2 linked regions of the Tamandua tetradactyla genome follow. The protein of the gene in region 1 purifies or fractionates together with the protein of each later gene. This does not show direct contact. Links are inferred from orthologs where the notes say so. Each region holds a gene or a part of one and is shown in the gene's direction. Other genes may lie near its edges.

Region 1 (11,612 bases):
ATTTTGTGTTTATGTGGTCTGGCCAACAGGAACTGAATTAAGTGTGTACACATCTTGCCAACTCTTCTCCTGTGGTCTCTCTCTTTTTATTTCTTTCCCCTCTGAGGACACTTTGTATGTAGTACTCTTTAGCAGCTTGTGTTCCACGGTGGGTCTCTGCAGACTTGGGTCCCTGTGCCTAGATACGCATGGGGTTCTAACTCGCCGCTGTGAGTGTCTCTACACTCTGCATCTATGGCAGGGAGATCCAGGGCTTTGCTGCCTCCACGTGACTCCCAGTTTCACAGGACTGAGTGAGAGGAAAGGGTCTGGACCATCAATTCTGAGAAGGAAATGTAGAGCATTGTGCTTTTTCTTTGATTTAATGTGTGTGGAGCCCTTCTCCAGTCTCTACCATCCTCCAGGGTTTCATGCAAGTGCAATTTGATATTATATTACCTGATTCTAAAGGGAGACTTTTCCAAAGGATGTCTTATGTTGCCTTGTTGATGACCTCATTCATTCATGTTACCATTACATTTGATTTCTGCTACATAATAATCTATGATGGGCATCACCACATTTCACAAACTATTTTTTCACTACTGGATTCCCTGTCTCCTAATTTTACCATATAGTTTATTTTCCTTTTTCAATATGATCTCAAAGGTTTTAGTATTTCTTTACCTTCTTTTTACCACCGAGTTGTTTCACAGATGAGGGGAAACAATATCCAAACAAAGATTGACAGAATTTTCTTCCATAGACTCTATGCTAAACATAGAATTGATATAATGGTCTTTGCAAGAAAGGATTATTTATATAAGGTTATTGTGACTTCCTGTTTTTTTCAATGACTTCTTTCTTTTCTTTTTCCCTTCTTTCCTTTCATTTTATCCCTTCAAATAAACATTTTTGAAGGTTTTCTCCCTGCTAGTCATGTCCAAACTAGGGGTTTGAACAAAAACAAGGACACTGCTTTTTCACAACTAAGAATTTGGTACATATTGGGAGAGAGGAAAGTATGGGCTCGTAACAATTATAAGAATTATCTAGAAATGTAGAAGTGTGTGCAACCACCTCAGCCTTGGTGCATCAGGGAAGATTCCCAAGAGAAGTGAACATTTGAGTTAGACCTTGAAGGATAAGTAGAAGAGGAGAGAGAAGAAGGCATTGAAAACACCTGGCGTGTTGAGGTTTGAAAGAATGTATGTACCCTAGAAAAACCATGTTTTAATCCTAATCCCACTTTATAAATCCAGCCATTTCTTCTAATCCCTATTCAGTACTGTATGTTTGAATCTGTAATTAGATCATCTCCCTGGAGATGTGACTTAATCAAGAGTGGTTGTTAAACTGGATTAGGTAGAGATGTGTCTCCACCTATTTGGGTGGGTCTTGATTAGTTTGCTGGAATCCTATAAAAGAGGAAACATTTTGGAGAAAGCTGGAGATTCTGAGAGAGCAGAATGACACAGCCACGAGAAGCAGAGAGTCCATCAGCTAGCGACCTTTGGAGATGAAGAAGGAAAATGCCTCCCAGGGAGCTTAATGAAACAGGAAGCCAGGACAGAAAGCTAGCAGATGATACTGAGTTCACCATGTGCCTTTCCAGATGAAAGAGAAACAGTGACCATGTTCGCCATGTGTCTTGTCACTTGAGAGAGAAACCCTCAACTTCATTGGCCTTCTTGAACCAAGGTATCTTTACCTGGATGCCTTACAGTGGATATTTCTATAGACTTGTTTTAATTGGGACATTTTCTCGGCCTTAGAACTGTAAACTAGCAACTTATTAAATTCCCCTTTCTAAAAGCCATTCCGTTTCTGGTATTTCACATTCTAGCAGCTAGCAAACTAGAACAAGGTTCTCCTGAATAGTTCAAAGTTATAAAATATAGGGTTCATGTAAGTGGTACCATAGCATGTAAATGAATAAACAGCCAATATAAATGGGCAACATAAAGGATCTTTGTGTTAATAGGACTGTAGTGGTAGATACACAAATCTATATATATAGTAACACTATATAGATCTAAATTCACAAACACACAAATGGGTCTGCATAAAACTGGAATGTATGAATAAGATTGTGGGTTGTGTCAAGGTCAGTATCCTAGTTGGGATATTGAACTATAGTTTTGCAAGATGTTCCCACTGGGGGAAATTGGCTATGGTTTACATAGGATCTCTCTATAATTTTTTACAACTGCATATGAATCTATGACTATATAAACATTTCTATTTAAATATGAAGGTACAATAAAGGTGTTTTCCAATGAAAATGTTTATTAATCCTGCTTCAGATGTAGAGGGAGAAATTTAAGAAACCTTGTCCACAGGTTCCCGTTCGAATTTTGACTGATTTATGTTGCATTTATACATTAATTTGGAAAAATAATACCAACCAGACCTACAACTAATATAATAGTAGTTATTTCAATGTGTCTTGAGCAGTTTTTAGATGATGATTATTATTGGTGCTCTTGGAACCTTTATATACTGATTAGCTCAGAGGGGAAAAAAATGAACATTAAACTAGTGCTTAAAGCGCAAGTCATTGCTGTGGGGCTTGTATACATTTTTCTAGTTCATGCTATGAAAGAGGCAGTTTTCAGTGGAATTATTAATTAATTTTCCTGATGGGAAATCCTGAGGCAAAGTCACAGAGTATTTGGATGAAAATTTATGCAAGTTTGAAATACAGACATAGAACACAATATACTCTTGCCATCTTGTGTGGTTGAATCCTACAGTATCTACATCTAAATATGTTGAATATAATATTTTTGTGGTAATTTGGTATGGATTATTTCTGCTCAGGAAAATGTTTTAAAATTTGTGAGAAGATAGCTTTTAATAAAGTAATAATTAAAAAGAACATCGGATACTATTAGAAGACTTCAGAGATGTTTCTGCAACCTTTAAATAAAACAAAAATAAAAAACACATCAGTGAGTTTCATAATGGTGAGCTTTTTATTGAATGTTCAGTATGTGTTGGGCACTATGTTTATCAGTTTACATGTATTATTAAAAATTTCATAACATCTCTTTGAGGAACGAACTTTTTTGTCTCTCGTAGGATTCAGATGTGGAAACTGAGGCTTAGGGCGTTTAAGTGACTTGCTTCAAAATCACACAGTGGAATAGGGAGGGAACCTGCTTTTTGACTCCAAAGTCACATCTGATTTCAAAGCCACACCTCTAAACCACTAGGATACAATGCTATAATAAGCTACTGTGGGAGTGCAAGGGTAGTTCAGTGGTAGAATTCTCACCTGCCATGCGGGATACCCAGACCATGCATCTCCCCAAAACAAACAAGCAAAGAAAGAAAAAAACCAAACAAAAATTCAAAAAATGGTGCTGCAATAATGGGATACTCACATGGGAAAAAGAATGAAATATGAACCCACTATACAGCATACAAAAAAAAAAGCTACTGTGCTGGTGTTTGAAACTATTATGCATCCCAGAAAAGCCATGTTCTTTTAATCTAATCTTGTGGATACAGACTTACTGTAGATTTTATTAGGTTGTTTCCATGGAGATGAAGCCCCACCCATTCAAGGTGGGTCTTAATTAATGAAGTCCTTAAAAGAACACATGGGGAGAGAGACAGAGATCAGAGCCAACACAGACAGCAGAGAGATGAAACCAAGACACAGACATCTGGAGAGGCAGAAGGAGCTAAGAGAGCTATGTGAACCCAGAAGCCAGGAGAGAAGGATAACAGGTGTAGCCATGTGTCTTCCCATCTGACAAAGAAACCCTGGATGTGATCAGCCTTTCTTGAGAGAAGGTATCCTCTTCCTGGCACCTTAATTTGGACATTTACACAGTCTTAGAATTGTAATTTGTAATTTACTAAAGCCCCTTTATAAAAGCCAATCCATTTTTGGTACATTGCATTCTGGCAGCTTTAACAAACTGAAACAGCTACCAAATGAAAAACATGGGGTATGAAGAAAAAAGGAACTTCAAGTGAAAGTTTAGCATGACCCAAGTTCAGCAACACCCTTTACTGTAACTAAATTTTGGAGATCAACAGGGGTTGATGTGAAAAAAAAAACCACGGTGGTATCTTCAGAGCAATCACCTTTTACCCTTTTGTTTCATTTTATTTCCTTCATAGCTCTTTCACTTACCAATATCTGAAATTATTTCATTATTTGTTAATCATTTGCTCCCCCTCACTATAAACTTCAATAAAATCAGGAACCTTGTCTTGTTCATTGCTGCACTTCCAAGGGTCTCAAGTTGTGGCCAATACATAATATTTATTGAATGAGTGCAGCAATGTTTGGCCTTTTCTGGACTTAAATGGTAAAGGTTTAGATTTACAAACTGGTTCAAAAGACCACAATTAAAAGACAGGCTTTATTAGCATGTAAGTTTCTTACATTGGCTAGTATACACTAAAAGGAGAGGAAGAGGAGGCTAGAGAAAGAAGCTAGAGGAGTGGGCTGGAGAAAAGAGGAAAGAAAGTATGTAAACTAATAATTGTAAATCCTCAATTATGGGGGGAGGGGTGGAACCTAAGAAATTAGGAGCCTTAGGACATTGGAGTGTCTGAAATTAGTGGGGCTCCCTTGGGATAGAAACCATTATAAAGTCTAATTTCTCAATTTTGTTTCAAAAATTCTCCCACCATGAAGGTTTATGGAAAGCAGGTGAGCATTATTTACTTCATTTTTAATATGCTAACTACCTTGGACTGTGGATAACTTTGATTAGAACATGACAATCTGGAGGGTGCCATTAAAATTAATGCCAAGTTTATGTACAGTTTGAGAACTGTTCTACTTCATGTATAGTGGGTTCTTCATGAGGAGTCATCATTGATGTTATTATAATTAGGGTTATCCTAACATCAAGGTGGAGTAGTATATGAAGAAGGCAGGAAAAAATAAAACTCTCAGATATGAAGAACCAAAATGATTGGGTAAACTGGGGCATCTGTAATGTGCAATGGGAAAGGAAATTAATTTCAGTGAGGTTGGGGACTGCCAAGAAAATAACTATATCCTTTAAGATGGAACAGAAATAGTTGCTATACATGAGGATTATAATAGATTATTTCAGATAGTTTGAAGACTGCAATATGTAGAGTAAAGGACCTCAAACTTTTTGGTCTCAGGCCTTTTTTACAGTAACTCTTAAAAACTGAGGACCCCCAAAAGTTCCTGTGCATGTGTGTTATATATATTGATATTTACCACATTAGAAATTAAACTGAGACATTTTTTAAATGTGCATTCATTGATTTAAACAGTAAACCAAATATTAAGATGTTTTATGAAAAATACTTTCCAAAACAAAAAAAATCGAGTGAGAAAACTGGCATTGTTTTACATTTTTGCAATTCTCCTTAATTTCGCTTTTAACAGATGGCTGGATTCTCATATCTACTTCTATTTCCATCTGTTGCCATACGACGCTGTCCTATAGCCACTAGAAAACTCCCTTGTACACTTCCGAGAGAATGAGAGTGCAAAAGCCAAATAATGTCTTACTATTACTATGAAAACGGTTTTGACTTCCCCATGTAAGGGTCTATAGGACCCTTAGACCACACCTTAAGAATCACTGTTCTAAGGAGTTGAAATTAGTCAACCCAGTATCAATTGAAAAACAGCCTGTGGGTTCATACGATTAAGGATATACAGTTTGTTCTTTTAGAGAAAGAGGAAAGCTATGGATATGGTGAGTGTTTTCATTAAAAAAAACATCCAAACAATACGCCACATTAATCCATCAAAAGAACCAAAGTAGAAACGAGGGTTCTCATGCCAGGTAAAGATGGAGGGTGTAAAGATGGAGGGTGTACGGGTGAGGCGCACCCGGGAAGGCCTGGAGACACGCTGAGCTAAGAAGACGCCACCAAAGGTGGTCACGGGGGAAGAACTGTTGCTCTAAGAGAAAAATACGGCAGAGACGGAAAATGTTTACCACAGAGTTGCAAGATTAAGGCCAAGAATAAGACCGGGATCTACACAGGGACTGAGGCGCACACTACGGCAGAATGCGGCAAGCGGGGCAAAAGATGGATGGCCCCCCTCCCCCTATTCCCTTCCCCATTCCGGACAACGCTGAGGGTTGGGGGTGGGGGGCGATTTGGGCCATGGATGAGGCCGGAATCAGAGCCTCAACCTAGAACCATGGGGTTGAGAATTCCTTCCCAGTGTAGCAGAGAGCAAAAGAGACTACGCAGCGTGTAGCAGGAAGCAGAGGTTAGTCACAGGCGGGAACCGGGGGAGTCCGAGCGCCAAGTAAGAGCCGCGGGGCGGGAAGAGCCAGCAGCAAGAGCGTGGAGGCCGCGGGGGAAGAGGGACAGTTCTGTTGCTAGGAAACCGGGCCTGGACCCGCCTCCTCCTCGCGTTGCTAGGAGACGGAGAGGCCGGGAGGAGGGCGGCGGAGCGAGTCTACGTGCTGACGCTAATTGTATATGAGCGCGTGCGGCGGGCTCTTGGGTCTTTTTTAGCGCCATCTGTTCGCGGCGCCGCCTCCTGCTCCTCCCGCTGCTGCTGCCGCCCTGAGTCACTGCCTGCGCAGCTTCGGCCGCCTGGCTCCCCGTACTAGCTGCCGGTAACGGATGGGGGCCTGGAAGGGAGGGGAACCTGGAGTTGGCCGAACGGCCTACGCAGAGGGAAGGGAAGAACAGGGAACTGAAAGTGGGGACCGTGGGCGCCTGGTTCTCCTTGGCTGTGCTGTGGGGTCGGACCTGTCCGCGGAATTTCGACTCCTCAGCCTTCGAGACGGCCGCAGGACTGGCCGTCGTTTCTTTCAGGGACTGCTGAGGAGACGCAAGGGTCGGTGCGGCCTTTGGCGACCCGCGAGGCCTGTGGCGGCCGGTCGCGCTAGTGTGCGCCGAGGTCCTCCGTGCCTCACCGGCTTCTCCGTGTGGACAGAGGGAGGCCGCGGCGCGCCCTGGACGCCCTGAGAAGTCAGCGGTAGTGCCGTGAGGGACCGGGAGGCACCCTTGGTGCGGGCCGGGCCCTAGTACGGAGCCCGCCGCCTCCTCGACGCCCCCGCTTCACCCTCAAAAATAATTCCCGGAGGGAGGTCGCGGGGGGATGGAAAGAACAGCGGAGGCTGCGAATTCCGACGGGTGGGAGGGGCAGTGAAGGGAGGAGGCCCTAAGGCTGGGAGGGGGCGGGGGAGGCTGCGAGCCTCCCGGCTCTCCGCCCACGGGCGGCGGTGGCGGAGCTAGGAGGGGAAACCCCGGCGGCGTCCCTCGACACGTGGTGATGGGCTTCGAGGCTGTCGTCTGCGCCTGATTAGAGACCCCTGTCTAGGTTGTTCTTACTTAACTAAAGTTTTTGAGATCGTGGGCTAGGAAAATGAATAGGGAGCAAGTAAGTTCAGCCCCTGAGGCTCAAACTGTTCCCTTTTTCTTCCCTTTGATCTTAATCTTTCTATTTGTACGGGAGGAGGATATGAATGTTAGTTGATGGGCAGTGCGGATCAGGACCGCTACTGCCACGATTCTAAAGAATTAGCGCGTGTTAACAAAAGGTTGTTATATAGTGTATCTCAAAAGCACAGAAACTGAGTGGGTGGTTGTCTTGACCCAGGATTATTTGGAGGAAGAAAGGTTGATTCTGATCAGTCTAAACCTAAACTATTCTAAAATGGAAATAAAGGATTTGGCCTGTAATATCTTTAATTCTTCTATGACTTCTCTATAATTTCTTAGAAATTTCTTTATTGACATTCCCAGAATAAGATACTTAACTAACCATCTTGCTCTTAAATTGAATGGAGAGGGTGGGGGGAGTATGTATTAGAATGAGGCGTTTATGTAAATTTATTGAGCTAAATTTGTAGTATGCTTCCTTGTCCTCAGAAGTCTGGGGAGAGCTAGTAAAGTGAGGCAGTGGTTTGGGGTCCTGTCTGGGAGGACTGGGCTTTCAGAAAAAAAAAAAAACCTGTATGGGAAGGGTAGTCAAAGAACTGTTTCAGACTATCACTGCTTGATTAGTTAGTACTGAAATGACTAGCTGGTTTCACAAACATACACTGCTTGCCTGTTTTCAGGAATGCTGTAAAAGGGAATTTGCTCATGTAGATGAGGTTAAAACATCTTTTCAAATTAGTATCTAGGTCCTACTTTATTGTCAATTTAAGTTAATACTCCTATAAGTACTTTTACTAATGATGTAATGCCCTTGGCCTTTGGAAAAGAGAATAACTTTATGTACAGAATAACTTAAAAGTGACAGGTAAATGAGGTTTACATGAATCTTCAGTGACTATCACAGATCTAGTACCAAGGTGGTTTGAAGTTCCCCAAGTTCAAATAAATGACCCACATCTAAACTGTTTAATTTAGTTCTAAGAAGACTTGCAGATTCTTGGGAAAACAATGGGCCTAAACATCGAAAGGTGGATTTGGACATCTATTATTATATAATCTTTGATTCTCTTTTCAGGACATTGTTTATATTAATTTGTGAACTAGCATTTACAAAGTTTTCACCATACCACTTTGAAAGTCTTTGTAAATTTTATCTGTTGCAAAATAACTTTCTGATATTTTGACGGAATTATTAACCTAATAAGGACACACATGATTGATTGTCCTTGTTCCTTAATGAGAATAAAAGAACAACTCCATCAGAAATAATCCAAAATGTTGCTCTATTTTCCAGTTTGTCCATGTTGGTTCAGGTGACTGATTCCATTCTAAACTCCGAGAAATTTTCTAATAAAGGGTTCTTTTATTAGAAGGAAGTAAAAGAGGCAGAATCTCAGACTTTAAGACTGAAGGAGGTTATCATTCATGCATACTCTTAATAGCTTGGCTCTTTAAAAAATTCTATATTCACATTTCTTTTCCTAGTTTCCACCCTGTAAAATAACCATCTGGGGTTTTTTAAGACGAGTATATGTAGCTTAGTTTTTTTAAAAAAAATGTTTTTTATTGTGAAATATATGAAGCAAAGAAAACAATTTTTAAAGCATACTTACGCAAGTAGTTATAGAACATATTTCAGAGCCTGAAGTATTAGCTGGCGCATAACAGGCATTTAATAAATGTTAAGTGAAATAAAACACTAGTTTGCTTACTTTGTTCATTTTTGCTCGATTGTAAATTTGAAGTATTAATGGAAGATAAGATCAAAAGGAATCAATCCTAATCGGTATAGAAATACTGATTATTTGAATTCTCAAGACTAACCAAACCCATAATTGTGTTTGCTTTTAGTTGATTTTGAGTAAATAATTTTACCTATTTTGACACGTATTCTAGATTTAGGGGTTATTTTGTGAGCAAAGCAGGCAAATCGGTTACCTAACTGAGTTTTAAAATGTCAAGTTGTGATGGGTGCTATGAAGAAAAAAGTGAAAGGGTCATTATTTGAAGGAACATGTTATAGTGGTGATATAAGTCCCATTTCAGACCAGTTTTGAACTGAATAAGAAGTTATCTTGTTGAGGATTGGAAGTTTCAAGTTACTTAGTGTAGAAAATGGCCTCTATACTTCTGGTTACCAGTTCTGTTTTTCACTGCTACATATTTTGATGCTCTCGCCTGTTCAGAAGTTTTATGTATTTGAATTTTTATGCGAATAGGAAGCTTTAGTTTTGAGGAACACGGAATTACTTATGCTGAAAATACCTTAGAAAACTCAAGTGAAGAGGGCATAGTGTAGTAAATAGTGTAATAATCAATATTTAATGGATGACTATTTGGGTGCTGTTTTAAATTCTGAGTTAACTCATCTGGTGCTCCTAATTGGTGGTATTAGCTTTTTTTTTTTATTGTTATTAGCATTTTAAAAAGGAGAAAACTGAGGCACAGAGAGGTTTAATGATTTATCCAAGGTTACATGATTAAGCAGTAAGTGTGACTAATGATATGGTGATATTTAGTGTTTGCCTGACTACTGATTTTTAAAGACAGTTCTCAAATTGTACATCTGTACATCAGCTTGAAATTTGAGAAGCACTCAAAATTTCTTGGGTTCGCTGTGCTTCAGGGGAAACCTTCAGCACTTCTTCGTGATGATGAGATCTTCCAGTGTCAAATCTATTTACTTACCACTGGTATAGTAGCTTCTTGGCCTTATGACTGACTGCCTGTTGTACGTATTCTCTGATGAAATTGTTTGTACCTGTTAATATATTATGTGGAATGGTTTGGTGAGTTTTTTGCAAATATCAGGGATAGTCAAGGGGGCTGTAACCTGAGGGCCAGTGAAAGGAGAAATTCTCCTTCAGTGAGAATTTGAAGCCAGCATTTGGTGACTACCTGGAGAGGTGTTCTCTCCATGCCAGGTGGAATCAGTTCCCATATTTGAGTTAGAGAGTTGGGATATTTAAGAATGATTGTTTATATAGTATAACAAAAAAACACTGCCAATTAGGTAAGGCATACTGTTCTTCCCTTGCACTTGAGACCTAACTTCAACTCAGCTATGTTTCTCTGCTATTGGATCAGGTAACACCGTAGGTATTGAGAACCCTTGTGCAGAAGACACGGTGTTTTCAAATAAGTGTCCATTTTGCTTTGGGAGATTAATCAAAGGTCAGTTGTGGATTGACTCAATATCCCGGAAATTGAAAAGTGAGCCTGAAGAATAGATTATTCTAATTTAAGGTTGTATTTGAACCAAATAAGATACTGAACCACTGCATCATTGAAAATGCTATTAAGAGGACAGCAGTGTCTGAAATAGATTTATTAAGCACAGTGCGTTTAGAATAGACAAAAGCTGAGAGAGAGGAAAATTAATATACTTGGGACATTCCTGGTTCCTTTGAATTCTTAGCTTTAAAACATTTGTAATTTTTAATTGGTCATTTTCTGTAAAGGATTAATAATCAGGTTGTTACTGTATAATCTGTGTAGCAGTAGCTTGATTGGGGGGACACTGCTTTCTGCAGTAGGAGACCAGAAGTAGATTTTAGAAGGCCACATTTTTAATCTTTGTTCTTTTATTAGTTGGTGTTACTGAGCATGGTGTGTAATGTTTTACCTGCAAGTATGAGGAAAGCTTATAAAATCCCTTAAACAGTAGCATTCCATAAATATGGTTTTTCTTGCTTTTCATTGAATATAAGGAGGAGTTTATTCAGAATGAAGTTTACTTTATTGGTGGTGAGTAGCTTTAATGGATAGTATGTGTCTGGAAAAGTGACTGTTTTCAGCACCTCAAAGTGATCAGATTGTGGTGTGATTTAGTGACTTACCCTCTTCCCCTCTTTTTTCCCAGTGGTAGATTTTCTTACTGTTTTAAGTTTCTGAGGTCAAGACTTTCCTTCAGGTCATGTTATTATGAACTGGTGGCTTTTCTTTCTCCTGGATATCTTCTGTGCATTACATATGTTGGGTAGTACATTGAACCTTTTATTATAAAATGACCCTTTTATCTCTAATAATACTTTCTCTTAAAGCTTGGTGGTTGTGCTTTTCCTCCCTGACTTTAGTACAATGATACCAACTTTCTTTTGATTTAGGATTGTATTTTTCTTTGAAATTCTCAACAATTGTCAATAATTTGGTTTTTTAAAATCCAGCTTGACAATTTTTTTTAAATGGGATCCTGTAAATCAATTTACATTTTGTAAAGTTACTATGGGTAGATTTTAATTTGATTATTTTGTGCTATTTGTCTAACTTTT
Region 2 (11,687 bases), on another chromosome or scaffold:
CCCCAGGGTGATTCCTTTCTGCATCTCCAAAGGCTTGGGCTGAGCTGTGAGTTCTGAGATGAGGTATGCTGAGCTGCTTGGGCTGTGCTGCGTTGAGCTCTCTCATTTAAGCACAAGCCAATTAAGTCAAACATCATTCATTGCAGCAGGCACACCTCCTAGCCGACTGCAGATGTAATCAGCAACAGATGAGGTTCACGTACCATTGGCTCAAGTCCACAGCAACAGAACTAGGTGCCTTCACCTGGCCAAGTTGACAACTGAATCTAACTACCACACCCACTGAGTTGGGGGAGCAGTGGGGGAGATGTTGAGTTGATGGGAGTCAGTCTACCTGTGAGAACCCAGTGATGCTCTGAATTTGGTGTCTGGAGGTACAGTGAAGAGTGGGAGTGAGGAGTGCAGCTGAGATGAAGGAAATCACTTGAACGTCTGTGTATAGGACATCAGCATCAGTCACAACCCCTATTTTTCCCCCTTCTGCCCACATAAAGCAACTGCAGCTCCAATACTTTCCTTCAGACAAAATTCATGACATTTTACAAACTACCTAGGGATCACTAAGACTGGTGTTATGGCATTTGGCACCACAGAACAAAAGTCTCCTCATTCTGGCATTTGGGGGGCCCATAGCATGTTCTCCTTAAAGCCTGCCAGTTGTCACTTTCCCTAGTCCACATAAAGTCTTCTGACAGATTTTCCTCACAGGAAAGATCCCTAGCTAGAAAACGGGCTTACATAGGGAGCCTACATTAGCTACCCAATCCTTTTATCTTAAATATGAATGGATAACCAAGAATCCTCAGGCAAATCAAGGGAATCTCCAATACGAAAACAAAGAACTAAGATAACTGCAACAACTGACCCCAGAAGAATTCTGGAATTTGGGAAACAAAAGAGAATTTCAGAAAATAAAATGTATAATATTCTCAGCAAGGTTATTAACATCCATATAATAGGAACTAGGTCCCATACAAATGGCTAAAAAGCACATGGAAAGATGCTTGACATCACCAGCTATTAGGGAAATGCAATCAAAACCATGATGAGATATCATTTCACACCTACCAGAATGGCCATAATAAAAACTAACAGAAAACTAAAAGTGCTGGAAAGCATGTGTAGAAAATAGAAATGATTATTCACTGCTGCTGAGAATGTAGAATGGTGCAGCTACTCTGGAAGGCAGTTTGGCGATTCTTCAGGAAGCTGAATGTGGAACTGCCATATAATCCAGCAATCCTGTTACTAGGTATATACTCAAAAGAACTGAAAGCAGGGACGTGAATAGACATTTTTAGATCGATGTTTATAGTGGCATTATTCACAGTTGCCAATAGATGGAAATAGCCCAAGTGTCCATCAACGGATGAATGGATAACCATACTGTGGTAGATATATATGATGGAATATTATGCAGTTATAAGAAGGAATTAAGTCCTGATGCATGCAACAACATGGCTGAACCTTGAGGAAATTATGTTGAGTGAAATAAGCCAGGCACAAAAGGACAAATATCATATAGTATCACTAATATGAACTAATTATAATGAGCAAACTCTTGGAGCTAAAATCTAGAGTATAGGTTACCAGGTGATAGAAAGAGAGTAGAGAATGGGCAGATTGATGCTTAATCTGTAAATAAGGTTTAATAAGGTTGATTGTAAATGTTCAGAAATGGATAACACAACACTACATGGTGGTAGCACAATACCGTAAAGTGACTAACGGTGCTGAGCGTGAGTATGTTTGAAAGGGGAAGTGTAGGGTCGTGTATGTCTTTAGAAGGAAAACTAGGGGATAAAACGTGGGTCTGTATAACATAGCAAAACCTATAGTGGACAATGACTGTGGTTAATTGTACAAATATAAGAAAGTTCTTACATGAACTAGAATAAATGTACATCACTATTATAAGGTGGTAATAATAAGGTGGTATATGGAAAAATACAATTAATGCAAACGGAGGACTATAGTTAACGGTGATATTGAAATATTCTTTCATCAATTGTAACAAAGGCATTATACCAAAGTTGAGTCAATCATGGGGAGGGGGCATAAGGGGTATGGGATACTTTTTTCAGAGAAATGAGAATGTTCTCATATTGATTGTGGTTGTGATGAATAGCTATGTGACTAAACCAAGAACCACTGATTGTTCACTTTGAATGGATTGTACAGTGTATGAATAAAACTGTTTTTTAAAAAGAAACTAGGTTTTACAATACAGGAACAATAAGAGAAAAGAAGGACTACTTGGATATTGACAATAAATTGGTGAAATAAAAAAAAATCAGCAGAAGGACTGGAAAATGATGTACAGGAAATCTCCCAGGATATAGGGCAAAACAAAACAAAACAAAACAGAAAATATAAGAAAATTTAAGACACATAAACCAATCTAGCAGGCTTAATATCTGAATGGAAATCCCAGACAGACATAATAGAAACAATGGAGGAGAATTTGATTAAATCACATTAGAAGTTATGTGTAGGACAGGTATCCAGAACAATGAATGTAGGAAACAGTGGATCCAACCGAAGCCATTACTGCAGCAGCCTCTTCACTGGTCCTCTTTTTTTGCTGTTGTCACTCCTTCCCACCCCCATCAGTGTATTTTTACAGTAGCTGGAGGAATCCATTTTAAAACCCAAGTCATTTTCTGTCTCTCTGTTGTTCAAAATCTTCCTGTGGATCTCACTGTGGCTTATAGGGCCACATTTCCTATTACTTCCCTTCCCACTTTCCCCAGCACTAGCAACACTGATCTTTATACTCTTCAAAATTGCCAGGCATGGAAAAAATAAGTGCCAGACATAGTCCTAACCTAGGGCCTTTGCACTGACTTTTATCTTCTCTCTCTAGACTATCAATTCCAAAGGAGCAAGGATTGCTATCTGTTTTGTTCACTGCTGTATCCTCAGCCCGTAGAACAGTGTCTGGCACATAGCAGACACTCAATAAATATTTGTTGAATGACTGAATATGATAAAGACAAATAATTCAAGGAAAAAAGAAAAGTTATTAGAAACTCTATGTGTGTAGGGGGGGACTGTTAAAAAATCGTAGTCTAAATATTAAGCAAAACAAAATATAGTATGATTGTTAACAGCTGGAGTATAAGAGGAGCTTTCTTTTGACCTCGATGCTAGAGACGTGTTACTCTGAGAGGCCCAGGGATTGTGACATGGACTTGTAGAGAAGGAAATGTATTCCTGGCTCTCTACTTGGCTGAGTTTTGAAAAATATTTACAATGTCACGATAATGTAAATGCTGTCTATTGATTTTCAGGTTTTAGAGTCAACCGGGGGGCAAAGTAGAGAAGACTTGGTTGTGGCTGCAGAGCAAAATATAAATGTTAATAACCTGGATAATGTAAAAGGAATAATGAAACTGACAGTATGATACATTGTATGGGCAGCAGGTAGGTAGTGGTACTAATAACCTTGTCCTAAAAAGTGGACAGTCTCAAAAATGGATGGAACGAGAAATAAAGATTTGATTATATTTTTAAATCAACCAAGAGAAAAACACAAAAGAGTATCACTGTTAAATGTTGCAGAAGAGTGGAGGGAAAAATGAGGCAGTGTACATAAACAAAACCCTCATTTCCATACTGGGGAGTCAGTGGGATATTGTCTAAATTTTATCAACTAAGAAACAGAGGATATGTATATTATCTAGAGTACTGAAGGGTATTGCCAGTAGAACTAAAAATAATAATAATAAATGGTTTAAAGATTGCTTCTTGGGAGTGGGATGGATGGGGAAGATTGAGGCAGGGACTGTTGGTTTTTATCATAAATTCTGTACTATTTTATTTGTTGCCACATATATACATTGCTGTAATAAAAATCAAATGCTAACTTTATGTTGATATTACAACACACAAATAATTATATATCCTATGATGCCTTATGACAATATCAAAATTGGCTTTTGGCTATTCAGTTAGACTCTCCCCTGCTGTAAGTCACCTAGCAAATGTTTATGAAGAGGATCAGAAAGGATATTTTGACACTTAAAATGCTGGAGATAGTGGCTAAGGTAGTGTGTCTGGTGTGAAATAAAGTTGGTGGATGGGGAGCAGGAAAGTGGTCAGCTGATGTCACAAACTTGGAGGAAGCAGCAATTTAGAGAGAGAGGAGACAAGAGAACAAAAGCCTACCTTGAATGCCTGGGAATGTGTGAGTATGCGCATGTTTTAAATTGTCCATGGAATATATGGACTCATGATATTTCACTGTTTAGTAAAGGCCATCAAGCAGAAGGCTTTGTGGCCATTTGAATTACATCGAATTACATGTAGGAAAGATATTGACTATTTTTTCTGTAACTGACCACTGTGCTGAATTTTATTATGGTTTTTCATAATTTTTAAGATGATATTCCTGGGTTTTCCAGGTTAATTAATGACAATTTTGTCTATTTTCCATTATTTATACATTTTATTTTGTTCTCTTGCATGGAGTTAATTACTTATGTGAATCTAATATGTGTGATGGCTTAGAGCTGTGCACCCTAGAAAAACATGTTCTTAAACTTCATTCATTCCCATCAGTGTGAACCCCTTGTAAATATGACATTTCAATGAGGTTACTTCAGTTAAGGTGTGTCTCAGTTGGATCAGGATGCGTCTTAATCCTATCACTGAAGACCTTATAGGGAAGGAAGGCCAAAATGGTAGAGAAGCCACAGGGAGCAGCCACAAGCTGGAAATCAACAGAACCTGGAAGAGTAAAGGAGAGGCCTGGAGAGGCCTCCATGTATATTGCTATGTGACAGAAAAGCCAAGGACCAGCGATCTCTTGCAGCCAGCCCCAAAACATAATTGTCTTCTGGGAGAAAGCATTGCTTTGACAACTCCTTAATTTCGGACTTCTCCTAGTCTCCAAACTAAGCCAATAAATTCCCATTGTTTAAGCCAACTCATTGCATGGTATTTGATTTAGCAGCCATGAAACAAAATAATGTGTGATTAAGTCATCATTTCAGATCAATAGCAGAGTGGATTAGTTTGTACATGATATATGGATAGTGATTATGATTTGGGGACATTAATAAAACTGAATTCCCTACCTCACTCCTTTTACTAAAGCAAATTTTGGAATGATAAAAATTTTAATGTAAATAATAAAGCCATAAAAGTGATTGAAAAAAACAGGGTGGGCCATGGTGGCTCAGTGGCAGAGTTCTCGCCTGCCATGCCCGAGACCTGGGTTTGATTCCCGGTGGTCACCCATGCAAAAAAAAAAAAAAAAAAGTGATTGAAAAAAACAAACAGGAATTGTTGTAGTTTAGGAGTGTGGAAAGCATCTCTAAGCATGATGCAGAACCCAGATATGATAAAGGAAAAAAAACTGATATATTTGAGTAAATAATAAACTATTTTGTATAGCAAAAATGATCATAAATAACATGAACAGTATTTGCAATATATGCAGCGCATAAATATATGAGGACATTATTGCTGGGAATGTTATTCCATGTATCTTTTGGGCTGTAACTTGACAAATTTTGTATCAAAATGGAAGACTTTTTGTAGCATTTGGGTTAGCAAAACATACCATAAATAACAAACATATTTGACATAGAAACATATGCTAAATACCATTGGTGAAAGTATTATTCAGTTTAATATTTTGGGGAGGCAAGTCTGCAAATCTTGTATTAAAATGGAAAACTTTTCTAGTACTTGACTTAGCAATTCCACTTCTATGAGTTTATCCTACAGATACAAGCACAATTGCAGAAGGATACAGATACAAGAATTCTCCTTGTAGCATTGTTTGTAATAACAAACAAAAATAAAACCAAAAAAAAGGAAGCAATCTAAATGTCCATGGATACTCGGCTGGCTAAATAAATTATGGAGCAAGTATATTAGAAAAGATCATGCAGCTAAGAAAAATGTGAACTGAGATAGATGTTCAGAATATATAACTGGAAAAAATCTAGTTCACGAATGACTAGTGTACCATTTGTGTACCATATAAGTGTGCCATTTGTGGGGGGAAACCCAAGTAATAAGTATATGAATAGAAAAAGCTGGTGGGATGCATGTCAAAATATTGAGTGGTTATTTCTGGGGGATGGGATAAGGGCAGTACTTCACTGGTATGTTATATATTTCTGCATTATTAGAATTTTCACGACAAGACAGTACCTTTGTAATAAGGTAAAATAATGATATAAAAATAAACAAATTCAATGAATGAAGGGCTTTGAGGGGGTGGTTTTGGTTGGAAAGGCTTCAGACCAAGCCTAGTACAGTGGCATAGGGCTTTGGCGTCAGACAGCCTTGAGCCGGGCCCCATTGCCCCACCCCCGAGGAAGGCGAAGGGTGGGGTGGCAGGGGGCTGCGGAAAGGGGCTGGGCTGGGCTGGGCTGGCTGCAGCTTTAGCCCTGGAGTCTGAGACTTCGAGAAGGACTGAGAGAAGGCAGACGCATTCCGGACTCGGTCGCGGACTAGGTGAGGGTCGTTGAGATTGGGGTTCCCTCGCAGTTAGACAGTGGTTCCAGCTTCTTTGAACCCATAGCTAGGCAGGTGGGCAATTCTTACTGCAGCACTGCAGCTGGCGGAGACGTGACCCGGAGTGGGGTGCAGCTACGACGACTGATAGAGTAGTAGGCTGTAGGGACTGGGGAGTAGAGAATAGCGGGTGAGGAGGGGAAAAACCGGGAATCCGGCATGTCGGGTGGGGGACGCGGTGTACGACGGGGGAGGGGAACACTGAAGGGGAATGGAGATCCAGAGAAGAGAATAGGGATGCACAGAGGGATTAAGGAATAGTGGGGGGTGGGGGAGCATAGGTAACACGGAGGAGGATGTACGGAATGGAAATAGAAAATTCCGTGGGGGCAAACAGAAAACGTGATGGGGGAATAGGGAATACGGAACGAGGGACTACGGGGGTGGGGTGGGGAATAAGGAATGAGGAGCAGGGAATGGGGGAGGGGCAGACAGGCTGGGACTGAGGCCCCCTAGGGAGGCGGAAAGGGGCGGGACCACTTCCGGCCTGAAGGGGGGAGGGCAGTCTTCGAGTTTCGGAGGGGCTTGGAGAGATCGCACGCAATTTGGGGCTTGTAGGAGGACGAGGTGAGCTGGGCCCAGCTTCGGATCAGAACCGGGTAGGTGTTGGCCCCACCCTCTGGGATCTGGCGAAAACCTGCCATAAGCACCGGATCATACTGGATCCGTCCGGCTGGGAAGGGAAGGCACTGGACCCGGTTTGGCCCGGCGCAAGATGGAACCACTAGTTCAATACTGATCTGAGGAGGGGGATGTATTAGGGAAGGGTCACTTTGCCCTATTTAGAGGGGGGTGTGTTAGGAAAAAGGGCGGGACCAGGAGGCACTGTGGACCTGGTGGGGTGGGTGTAAGTTGGGGAGGGGCCGGGGCCACCAGACACTGGGATAATTTGGGTGAGAGGCTTGTTGGAGACGGGGCGGGAACTAATGGTACTGGAAACCTGGAGAGAGGCGTGTGTTGGGAAAGGGTGCTGGGCTGAGACCATTACCAGCGCGCATGCGTACTATGGATCGCTAGAAAGGGGCGTGTAGAGAAGGGCCGACCGGGAGACGGGCCTGCTGCCGAGTGCGCATGTGCACGGTGGACCGCAAAGAAAGGGCTTGTGTTAGAAAAGTAGGCGGAGCTGAGATGGGCCTTGCAGCGGACGCGCATGCGTACTATCGACCTGCGGCTGGGGGTGCATTGGGAAAAGGGGCGGGGTCCTTAGAGCTGCCGCGCTGGCACATCTTCCTGTAGAAGGGGAGGGTGCGGCTGCGGAGAATTGGGCTCTAGACGCTCTGGATTCCTTTATCTGAGAACGAAGTCGTTGCGGTTGGGGATGGGGGAGGTGTGGGATTGGGGCCCTAGGGAAGGTGAGGGTCAGCCTTAAGCAGAAAACGGAAGAGTACGTTCAGTGAGCTCTGCCGTTGACCTAGGCTTTCTTTCCTTCAGGCTCTTTTGCTAGGCAATTTGAGAAATGTCTGACGCAAGTGAGAGTGGTGGTGCGGGTCCATCCCATCTCCAGGTGAGGCCACCTCTTGTCCTCTTCCCAGCCCTGGGATTTTTGAGCCATTTGCCTAGTTGGGGGTGGGGAGAAGGTTCTTGAACTTTCCGGCTTCCTCTTCTTGCAGGCTGAAGAAGCTTCAGAAGAAAACAGCCTGATGATGCAGACCCTATTGACAGTGACTCAGAACTTGGAGGTCTCAGAGGCACCAAAGGCCTCAAAGACATCAGAGGTCTCAGAGACCCTAAAGGTCTCAAATACCCCAGGGGCCTCAAAGACCACAGAGGTCTCAGAGGCCCCAGAGTCTCAGGAGGCAGCTGCTACCCAGGCCTCATCTACCACTCAGCTTACTGATACCCAGGTTCTGGCAGCTGACAGCAAGAGTCCACCTGCTGACACTAAAATGCAGAATACTGACTCGCAGGCTGTGACAGTACCTGCCAGTGAGCCCAAAGAGGTCAGCTGTATGGGTAGCACCCAGGTCATTACAAAGGCCCTGGAAACTGAGGCTGCTGCCTCTCAGGCTCTGGCAGATAAACCTGAGTCTGAGGATACAGCTGCCCAGGCTCAGGAGAATCAGGATACCCGGCCCAAAGTCAAGGCCAAGAAAGCCCGAAAGGTAAGAGCTCTGTAGTTTCCACCCTGGCGTTTCCATTCCCCCTGTTGGTTCATTTGTTATATAAAAAGTTACCAAGGTTCCCTGTGCTCTTCAAGACTGTGGGAACACTGAGAGAAATGTGATATAGTTCGTATTTTCAGAGAACTTACATTGGGGGAGAGATGAGATATGAATATACTTAGTTGCAATCTGAATATAATTCAGTTTATATTTACCATGTGTTAGGACTTGAGCTAGGCACATTCACACAGGTTATCTCATTGAATTTTGAAGGTAACTCCTACCAGTTAGGGATCATAGTCTTAGTGTTATGGAGAAGGAAGCTAAGCCACAGAGAGATTAAGTGACTTGTCCAGGGTAGTACAGGCAGAGCCAGTAGTGGATATAAGAAGAGAAGAAGCCTTACGTCCCACCCTTGCAGTGTTTCTGGCCTGGTGGGGAGATTAAACTCCTGCCTGGAAGTCAGTGAAAGACAAACTCAAGACTCTGTATGACACCAGAGGCTAGTGAAGCAGGCTGTTATTATGGGGTGGGGTTGGGGAAGCTTCCTGGAAGTCTCAGCATGAGGAAAAATGACCATCTGCTTCATCTGGTGATGTTGAGCTCCCTCTTTGTTGATACAGGTGAAGCATCTGAATGGGGAAGAGGATGGCAGCAGTGATCAGAGTCAGGCTTCTGGAACCACAGGTGGTCGAAGGGTCTCAAAGGCCCTAATGGCCTCAATGGCCCGCAGAGCCTCAAGGGGCCCCATAGCCTTTTGGGCCCGCAGGGCATCGAGGACTCGGTTGGCTGCTTGGGCCCGGAGAGCCTTGCTGTCACTGAGGTCACCTAAGGCCCGTAGGGGAAAGGCTCGTCGTAGAGCCGCCAAGCTTCAATCATCCCAAGAACCCCAAGTGCTGCCACCTCGGGATGTAGCCCTTTTGCAAGGCAGGGTAAGAACTCTGGCCGTTCCACTCTGGTTTTTCTACTGCATTGTCTGCCCTCTGCTCTGCCATGCTCTCAAATCTTCTGGAAACATATCTGATCTTTCCATCTTTTCCTCTTCTCTCAGGCAAATGATTTGGTGAAATACTTGCTGGTTAAAGACCAGACAAAGATCCCCATCAAGCGCTCAGGTAAAGCCTTACTAACCATCAGCTCTCCCTGAACTCTGCTCTCCATTGCCCTCTCTCCCATGTGCTGGGGGCATCCTTTGCTCTTATGCTCAGACCAGTGTCCTCCCGTAGTTCTACTTTGGCAGTGCTCGCATTTGTGTTCATTAGCACAGAACCGTGCTACACCACCCATAGCATGGTTGGCAAGGGTCTATAGCTTGGGCAGGGCATGGGGGCCGCCTGGCTTCTCTTCAGCCCAGGTGCTCGCAACACTCTCCCCTTGCAGACATGCTGAAGGACATCATCAAAGAATACACTGATGTGTACCCTGAAATCATTGAACGAGCAGGCTATTCCTTGGAGAAGGTGAAGGGGTAGCCCTGGGGGATGGGCACAATGGGGAAGCCCTGAACAAAGGTGTACATGTCCCTTCTGGGAGGGACCACATATACTTGCTAATCCAGCCCTATCACTGGCAAGATGGTAGCCTAGGGAGGGGCATAGACTAGCCATGAATTACATAGCCAGTCAGAGGTAAAAGCACAGCTAGGACCCAGTCCACCCAAATTCTTAGTTGTGGCTTCTGTCCACTATTGGACGCATCCTGTGATGTATTTCAGATGATTACCTCTCCCTTCCATTCCCCATTCTCTGTCTCCTTAGATTCCCATTAATTGCATAGAAAACAGTAGTGCATTTATTCCGTGATTACTGTGTGCCAGGCACTTAGCTAAGTATTTTACATGCATTATCTCACTTATTTCTGACACTCAAAACCCTAGGTACATGGGGAACTGTGGTTGGCTAGGAAGCTGAATTTTTTGGCCTCATGAGGTGTTCTCCCCATCCATAGGTTTTTGGAATCCAATTGAAGGAAATCGATAAGAATGACCACTTGTACATTCTTCTCAGCACCCTAGAGCCCACTGATGCAGGCATACTGGGAACGTAAGCTGGGGAAGGGATTGGGTAGAAGAGGATTTTCTGTTTTTGTCTGTTACTATCCCTTCCATGTTTTCTCTCTTATACACTCTTAGAGAGTCAGGAAAGACAGGGATTTAAATGCTCTATTCCAATTCCTGCGTAGTTGGAGCCCTACACTCATAGTGGTGCCTGATTTTGAAGGGTATAGAATAAGTCTGGGCTAGGGCATTCTTGTCAGGTTTTTTATCCCTCCAGAAGCTTCCCAGAAGAGCAAGCCTGCCATTGCTTGTCTCTTCCTGCTGTGTGCCATGCCTGGCTTTGTTAGAGTCTTCTCACAGGAGGCTTCTTGGTGTGGGTAGGTTATGATGTTTGAAGGGCAAGAGAATCATCCTTGGGGCTGTGCTTAGAATTCTGTTAAGGTTAAGGGTTCTTGGAGAAAAAGAAGGGACTCATATTGACTGAGTGCCTGTGTTGTACCAGATTGACAGGCATTCTCTGTCGTCTTGGAAGGAGGAGGATGTTATTTTTCTCATTTTACTGATTGGAGGCTGGTAAAGAGTGCTTTACCTAGGCTCACCTAGAGCTTGGAACATAGACTAGGCAGAATCTGGGAGAAACTAGCCTAGTGAGCTGACTGGTATGACCTTTGCAAATGGCTGTTTGGCATAAACCTCTCTGTCCTATTCCTCTAGGACAAAGGACTCACCCAAGTTGGGTCTCCTCATGGTGCTTCTTAGCATCATCTTCATGAATGGAAATCGGTCCAGTGAGGGTGAGTGGCTGGGCCTGCAGCTGAATGGGTGGCCATGGTCTGAATTCCATGTGTTCATATTCTGTCCCTTGTCCTTTCTTGCCTCCCCTTGCAGCTGTCATCTGGGAGGTGCTACGCAAGTTAGGGCTACGCCCTGGGTATGATTGGGCTCTCTCAGCGCTTGCTGTTCGTGTTGTCCTTTGGCAGGAGAGGATGGTCCCAGGATTGCATCAGCCTGGTGGTCTGGTGGAATGGGTGGGAGGTTCCAGATGGGGTAGAGGG

Evidence for each region.
Region 2: the proteins of NAP1L1 (region 1) and MAGED2 purify together in Homo sapiens (affinity purification with mass spectrometry; 4 studies listed by BioGRID and IntAct, counting the BioPlex papers as one, with this or other methods). This does not show direct contact. The link is inferred for Tamandua tetradactyla from reciprocal best matches to the Homo sapiens genes NAP1L1 and MAGED2.

The regions. Positions count from the first base shown.
Region 1 is NC_135333.1:144,963,671-144,975,282, reverse strand, and holds the start of NAP1L1 (nucleosome assembly protein 1-like 1), read left to right. Parts: upstream 1-6,388; 5' UTR 6,389-6,569; intron 6,570-7,132; exon of another isoform or gene 7,133-7,339; intron 7,340-11,612. UniProt on the Homo sapiens protein: Histone chaperone that plays a role in the nuclear import of H2A-H2B and nucleosome assembly.
Region 2 is NC_135353.1:113,824,969-113,836,655, reverse strand, and holds the start of MAGED2 (melanoma-associated antigen D2), read left to right. Parts: upstream 1-6,346; 5' UTR 6,347-6,474; intron 6,475-7,009; exon of another isoform or gene 7,010-7,133; intron 7,134-7,965; 5' UTR 7,966-7,990; coding exon 7,991-8,038; intron 8,039-8,144; coding exon 8,145-8,636; intron 8,637-9,259; coding exon 9,260-9,568; intron 9,569-9,687; coding exon 9,688-9,751; intron 9,752-10,016; coding exon 10,017-10,096; intron 10,097-10,583; coding exon 10,584-10,678; intron 10,679-11,346; coding exon 11,347-11,426; intron 11,427-11,520; coding exon 11,521-11,563; intron 11,564-11,687. UniProt on the Homo sapiens protein: Regulates the expression, localization to the plasma membrane and function of the sodium chloride cotransporters SLC12A1 and SLC12A3, two key components of salt reabsorption in the distal renal tubule.